2 linked regions of the Coturnix japonica genome follow. The protein of the gene in region 1 binds, or shares a complex with, the protein of each later gene. Links are inferred from orthologs where the notes say so. Each region holds a gene or a part of one and is shown on either strand. Other genes may lie near its edges.

Region 1 (3,616 bases):
GTATTTTAGATGTCCACGTGGGTGTGCAGCATTTAATGGTAGTCCAAGGGATGGAACATCATTGGCAATCTCTCTGCAAGAAACCTAAGAAAAGAAACCTGTTTTAGCAGCATGACTGTTTAACAGATGTGTGCCTTCATCTCTCACAGAAGGGAATCTCCAGCCACTGTCACCCACCACTTCCTCTTGCTCTTTCTGTTATATTCATTTCAAGCCCAGTTGCTTTTCAAGCCTTCCTTAATAGTGCTCGATTTCCCTTCTCATTGGTTGTTAGGGTGCTTTACTGATCCTGTAAATTCAGATATGAGGGCAGAGGAGGAGCATTTCTTCTGCTGCAAGAAGCTTCTAGCATCCCACATCTCAGGAGCCTCAATCAGCCTTTTCCTCAGGTCTAGCCTCCGAGTGTCCCTCTTGCCTTGCATTGTGAAGGTCAGGATCTTGTGTCTACAGGGTCTCTGGTTAGACCCTCATTTCCTATTGTCCCCCCGATGTTCTGCAGTCTGCTCATCTGGGATGGCTTGTTCTCCTAGCATTGCTATGCAGTAAACATATTTAAAAAAAAAAAAAAAAGCAAACTGATGGAAATCAGATTTTGGAATGGATCAACTCCTCATTCTTTAGCCATAACTAAGGCTCACAACATGCACCAGTATGTAAGTTTGTTACCCACTGATGTCATAAAAACTGATGGAAGAGGTTGAAGGGCGGTCCCAGAATGAGATCCCAGGAGATTTCGCCCACTGGCTAAGGTGTTTATGTGTTGTTGCAGTGTTGACTGTTGCTGTACAGAGTTCACAAGTTTTGTGTCCTTTTGTATAGTTGCTTCCATTTGTTCACACTGAATTCTCAAACCCTTACTTTGTTCTTTTTGGCCAATTGCAATATGTTGAGTGCTGGTTGAGCTAGAGGGCTGCCCTTCCCTCTGAGGTGAGAGAATCAAGAGGAAACTGAGACAGAAAGACGAGTGTGAATATGGTTGCTGCAGCTGGAATCATACGGAGAGAAAACTGAAAATGAGATGCAAAATATGAAAGGAATAAAAATAACTTTAATGCCAATAACCAAACAGCATAGAAAGCTTGATTTTAAAGGCAAAATGCAAATTTATTCAGGAAATCTGTAGGCTTACCTATGAATGTGAAGATTCTGGGGAACAATAGATTAAAATAGAAGAGTGCAACTGAAGAATTCAAAAGAAACCCACAACGTTCTATAGCAGTATTTGTTGTCTTTTTATTTGCATTTCTTGTTTCTGTATGAACCTGGAAGTGTTACAGGATAGATGATTGTGAAGATGAATGGCTCTTCAAGTATAAAAGAAGTTTTGACCATAAATGTGTTTTAGGGCTGGGTTTAGCTGTGAAAGAGGAAAGCTTGGGAAGGCCCTACAGTGCTGTAACCCCATTAGTTACACTGGAAGAAGTAAAAGGGCTTGTTAAAAAAATAAGTGCACGTGGAAAAGGGATGACAGAAGGGTGAAAGCAGCAGCTGCACCCTGGAGGGAATGGACAAGCTGGAGAAATAGGTTGCAAAAGAGAGAAGACAATTCTTGTTGTGATTGCCCACCGTCTAAATTCCTCCTTATCTATATTAGCTCAATGTCGCATTGACCCTCCCTCTAGCAAGCGGAGTGAGGGGAGGAGGCTTCCACACTTGTCAGTACTGGTTCCTCAGTCAGATGAGGAGGATGCACTGATATGACACTAGTTATTTTACTTGTATGTGGGTCAAAATAAAATCTGGCAGCAAAGCTTTTCAGAGACTGGGTGAGTCCTCCCCTCTTCTGTGATCCTATTGTACAGAGTCTGCAGGAAACCTGGGGTGGTTTGTCTTCCTAACGCTGCTATACAGAGCACTGAGAGAAAAAAATCCTAATTCTCTTGGTAATCAAAGACTGGAACACTTCATCTCCTCACTCCTTGGTCTGAGCAAGGGCTCATTGTGTGCACCAGTGCTGGAGTTTGTTACCCTCTGATGCGTGCAATCAGTTTTCCTTCCCTATATATAAAAGAGATCTCTGTGATAGTGGAATCTTATGCCAAAGTGGGTTTTACTGAAATCCTGTGCCAGTACATGGCAGTTCCTATGTTTTCTTCCCGCTGCATGAAAAAAAAAAAAAAAAAAAAAAAAAAGGTCTTTAAATATGAAAGTTAATCAAGTCTTCTTTTACTCCAAATGGCTGTTCTCATGAGCTAATTAAAATAATTCAGATGACTGAAAAAGATTTTAATTGACTTAGGATTGCAGTTCAGAAAAAAATGTGTTTCTATGTGGAAAGGCTTTTGGGTTAAGCCAGCATTCAGGCATGCAGGAGATGGATTCAGCTGTTACCATGTTATAGATCTGTTATAGATCTGTTGTTGTTGAAAAACAAAGTCTTTTGTTGACTTCATAAGTTTAAGAAATGCCTTCACCTTTCTGCAGAATATGGATTTTAACAGTCCATTCTTACACTTCACCTAGTGCGTTAATGCAGAATAGGTTCTTGCACTCAGGGTGTTCCTCTAGGTTTATGAACCTGCTGTTGTGGCCGAGATTCTGGGCATTTTAAACTGACCTGTGGTGCTTATTCTCAAAGGCCTGGTCCTGCTTGAGCTCTTTACACACAGGAGGGACTTCCTTTTAATGCTTGGCTTTCTGCAGTGAAGATCTGGGTTGTCTGGTATGGGTTTTTTGTTGTTATTGTTCCACAAGATGTAGGGATTTCCTACACAATGTTTTTCTTTTGTGAGCTTCTTACATGCATTTGTCTCTAAACTTTATCCAGCTTGGACAGAGAATTGTAGGTAACATTTGGTTTTGAAGTTTGTGCAAGTACGTTTATGGCCTCCCTGACATGAACTTTATGCTGCTTTATATCATTTTTATGTTTATGTAGTATGCAAGTCTCAACTTCCTTTTAGCTTAAAGCAGGAAACCATACCAAGGGAGGATGAAGCTCTGCATTTTCTGGTGAGAGAAAAGAGTCTGAGTGTTTGAAGTACATCCTTTCTCCAGAACATTTGCATATCTTTTCTTGTGGTTGCTGAGTGTATCTGTAGCCCTTATGATAGGTGCTGTCAGGTGATGGAAAAGAATGGTTGCATTGAGAAGTACTGGCAGTTCAGAATAGTTTCTGAGCATTATGTCCCAAAGAAGAGAAATTATATTGAAAATTAGCTTGCAGCTTTTAGACCAAGTCTGTGTCCCAGTGAGACCAGTGGTTTATCTGCAGTAGATGTATTCTCTATCGTGGATGTGGCCAATTGCCCTGTACGTAAAAAAGGAGTTCCATGTGCCATTTCCAGTGACGTGTTGCTCTGAAGCACTGCCAGAATTAAAATGTTACCCATGCTATTTTCAATAGATGAGTTCTCTGAGAATCTGTCCAGGGATCCTTATTTTTATAAACATTTTGTAGTACAGGTGAATAACTTTGTAATGATTTTCTCTCATATCTGATTTGCAGAAGGTACAATCAATCACCCACCTTGATTCACTCTGGATTAGTGGCTGTTTATGGCACAGTTGTTTTAAATCAGATCGTTCTCTTTCTGGGAACGGATGATGGACAGTTACTGAAGGTAAGTAGAGCGTGGGACTTCCTCCCTTCAGCATCGACTATTACTGTGTTCAA
Region 2 (3,616 bases), on another chromosome or scaffold:
TTGCTGCCAGCTGGGGGGGAATTTCACCCTCCTTGCTTCAGCACCGAGACAACTGGCATGAGTTTCCTCTTGCTTAGGGTGAGGAAGGAGGGGAAGGGGAAATGGAGAGAAATGGACAGCAAGTCCCATGTCAGATGCTTGTTGTGTAAAGGTGCCCATCAGCTGCCGAGTGGTGGTGGAAACAGGAAGAACAAGTTCCATTCTGGGCAGTGACTCTTTCTAAATCCCCAGCCGGGTCATAACCTTGCAGCAAGAAGCTGTTGGGCTGCTAGTGGACGAAAGAACCCTTCTCAGTTTCTGTAACCTTACTGCCTTCCCCTAAGCCTCTCTGGGAAACTGAAGATCATTGAACCCCTGGCCAAAGACAAAAGTCCAAATGACATCAAGGCCAAACAGGAGATGTGTATGCAGGACAGGAGGAAAAAACCTCACAGACCTGGAGCACTGATGACACAGAACTCACTGCCATGGGGCCACCAGATACCCAGAGGGATCGTACTGCTGCTGGGGATGCCCTTTGTGGCAGCAGTGTATTAATAGGAAAAAACATGACTGGGTTTTCCACACTGAACACAAATAATGAGGCATCTTGCTCCACTGAGGGAGCATTTCTGTACAAAGCCAAGGCTTCACTAGGCTCCGGGGATTTGCTTTGCAAGGAAACAAGTGCATGGGGGAGGGAGAGGAAAGGGAACCCGTGGGAATGTGGTGTGTGAAGAACAGTCTTTAGTGTGCTGTGACTGGTCAGGTATGGAGAAAGGGCTTGGACCTGTCCTTTGCTCAGACCCACCAGTGAGCTTGTGTTTCTGAAGGGTTCATGTCCAAACCAAAGTTTTCTGACTGCTTGTTTCCCTTTCCAGACCCTCAGTTTGTCAAAGCCACCACATTAAGGCATGAAGAGCCTTACCAGGACAAGATTTACTACTTCTTCCGTGAAGACAATCCAGATAAGAGTCCTGAGGCACCCAGAAACATCTCCCGAGTGGCCCAGCTGTGTAAGGTATTGTAGGAACAGTGTATGGTTGGGAGGCAACAGTGTCACAGGGGTGAGAAATGGCCATACCAGCTCATCTGGTTTTGTCAGCACACAAGTTGGCCCCTCTGGCTCCCTCTAGCCATGTCCTTTGCCCTTCCCATCCTTGGGCTCCCATCTTGCTTGTAGAGGGGGACAACACTGTCCTCTCTTGCTGGGATGTTAGAGATAAACAAGCATTGCAGAGACCAGCAGCAAATATATCTCCGGAGCATCCCCCACAGTTATCCTCCTAAGATGCCATACAGAGGGGACTTTGTGTTGTTCTCTACCAAGCCCTGACTCTCTGCTTTCTTTCTACTCCAGGAAGACAAAGGTGGAACCAGTTCACTCTCTGCATCCAAATGGACCACCTTCCTGAAGGCCAGCTTGATTTGTGTTGACCCAGCCACCAAGGGCAACTTCAACTGGCTGCAAGATGTCTTCTTTGTCCCTGCAAGTAACTGGAGGGACTCCAAAGTCTACGGACTCTTCACAAACACCTGGTAAGGGTCTTTGCAAAATGGGGAGTGCCTGTCCCATGGGCCTTGTCCTTTCCTTCAGCCCTTTGTTCTCTCTGGCAGGAACATGGGTGGAAAACAGCCAGAATGGACATGGGCAGCAAAGGTGCGACACGCAGCTGTGCCCCAGCCATGCCCCAGGCAAAGGCCACTGTATCCCTGACCCTTTCTTTGTCTTCTTTCCCACAGGGGAAGCTCTGCTGTTTGTGTCTATTCTTTTGGGGACATTGACAACGTGTTTCGAACATCCAAACTCAAAGGCTACAACGGTCCCAACCCAGAGATCAAACCTGGGCAGGTGAGTCAATGATGGAAAGACACCCACATTAAGCAGAGACCTCCTAAGGTCCCTGCTGTGCTGCTGTCAGAGGGAGCTGGGGCAGGTGAGGGTCCCAACCAGCCAGCTGAGAACTGAGAGCTGAGTGCTGTTCTCAGGCAGCGTGTGGGCAGTGTGGGAAGGATCTGAGCTTTGTTACTGGAAACATGAGGAGGCTGGTCAACGTCCAACGCCTTTATGGAAATAAAGGGGAGTGAGGATCTTATGTACTTGGCAAACAGGTCCGAGCTCTCGTTTGAAGTTGGAGGACAAAGCTTTCTATTGTGTTTGCTAACACAAAATGTTTGTCTGCACCAGTCTGTGGCCTCAACCCTACAATTCATGGTGCTCAACTGACCTGGCAGCAAAGAGTTGCATGGGGAGAGGCTGTCCTAGGCTGCTGGGGAAGGCAGGGTCTGAGACTTTTGCAGTAGGAGAAAGGCTATTGGGCTGCCAAGTATGTAGATAAAGTGTTTGCTGTGTGTTTTCAACCTGCTCTATGATCCTGTGTACCTGCAGAGCGGCCTTTGCTGTGGCAGGAAGCTCTGGGCATCCTCCTCTGGGCTTCAGCTGTGCCATGTCATTTCTTTCCTGCCCTCAGGGATCTGCCTTCCTCTGACACAGTGCCTTTTATTCCCTCTCGGTGCAGTGTGTTCCCTTTGGACAGCACACCCCAAGTGAGACCTTCAAGATAGCTGACAGCCACCCAGAGGTTGAGGACCGGGTAGAGCCCCTCGCTCCCACCAGGAGCCCCTTATTCCACAACAAGCACCGCTACCAGAAGATTGGGGTGCACGAAGTCTCTGCAAGCGATGGACGCCAATACACCGTGCTTTATCTGGCAACAGGTACCAGCAACCCTAACCTTGTGCTGTCTTTCCCGCCTTGCTACCCAGGCTCACACCCTAGAGCCGTGCTCATCATCTTCTTTTACTTTGCATCTGCATTGTGCTGGAGTTTGTTTACAGGCATGAAAAAAATGCAGACTAGTCTTGGTGGCCTGGGTTGGTGCCCATGGTGGCCTGGGTTGGTGCCCATGCATGCTCTTATTGTTCTGCTCCTGCTAAAAGCCTTAGCTAAACACAGCTAATGCCTTCCAGATTCTGCAAGAGAGCTTGCTCCATGCTGCAGGGCTTGGCAAGGCAGCTTCCCACCTGTGCTGTGGTAGGTGTGGATACACCTGAGGTGAAATGAGGGGTGTTCCCCGCCTGACCCCTCTTGGGGGGTCCTATCTCACCTCCCCTGCTTGTGCTGGGGAAGGGAGAGGCTGCTTTGGGAGGGGGAAACAGAGACAATTAAATGAGAGTAAGTGATGAGATTACTGATGCACATTCCACCAGGATGAGAATTGCCACACATCTGCCAAATTGCTCCTTTTCTTCAATTACCAATTCCTGAAGTCATTTAATGGAGGAGGGAGTCGCTTTGCTTAACAAAGCCAGAAAGGTGGAAGTCCACATTTCAACCTCAGGCATTGGCGATAAGGCACAGCGGAACAGAGTCCAGTTTGAGAGCTGTTGGTTTTCCTTGCAGCTGAACAAAAGGGGCTCAGTCAGGCCTCCAGGGGAAATCAATTCCTCATGGCTCTTGGCTGAGAGGGTGACAAAGCTCTGCTCTGGGAGGCACTATTGTATAAAGGGTGAATTCCTAAGTAAATAATACTGAAAAAGGTTCCAGCCTCCCCTGGGTGGCTGGTTTCAGGGACACAGTCATATCTGGCTCTGCAGAGTGATGAGTACTGTGTGCTGCAACAAGGGCTGAGCTCAC

Evidence for each region. Proteins that work in one complex are often made in the same cells at the same time.
Region 2: the proteins of PLXNC1 (region 1) and SEMA7A are in contact, whole or in part, in a crystal structure (PDB 3NVQ), measured with the Homo sapiens proteins. The link is inferred for Coturnix japonica from reciprocal best matches to the Homo sapiens genes PLXNC1 and SEMA7A. Residues at the interface, in NP_005752.1 of Homo sapiens: Arg131, Thr151, Glu152, Val153, Asn195, Pro196, Ala197, Ala198, Ser199, Asp200, His201, Thr203, Ala206, Lys208, Arg213, Ser214, Leu215, Ala216, Thr217, Gln218, Glu219, Leu220, Arg222, Lys224, Glu272, Ala350, Ser352, His353; in NP_003603.1 of Homo sapiens: Gln194, Tyr196, Asn197, Gly198, Lys199, Arg202, Arg204, Tyr213, Ser215, Asp216, Thr217, Gln270, Gly271, Gly272, Glu273, Ser274, Ser275, Leu276, Val278, Ser279, Lys280, Pro372, Thr375, Glu376, Phe378, Gln379, Asp382, Arg383.

The regions. Positions count from the first base shown.
Region 1 is NC_029516.1:41,062,957-41,066,572, forward strand, and holds part of PLXNC1 (plexin-C1), read left to right. Parts: intron 1-3,448; coding exon 3,449-3,563; intron 3,564-3,616.
Region 2 is NC_029525.1:1,860,724-1,864,339, forward strand, and holds part of SEMA7A (semaphorin-7A), read left to right. Parts: intron 1-860; coding exon 861-1,000; intron 1,001-1,339; coding exon 1,340-1,518; intron 1,519-1,722; coding exon 1,723-1,831; intron 1,832-2,498; coding exon 2,499-2,697; intron 2,698-3,616. UniProt on the Homo sapiens protein: Plays an important role in integrin-mediated signaling and functions both in regulating cell migration and immune responses.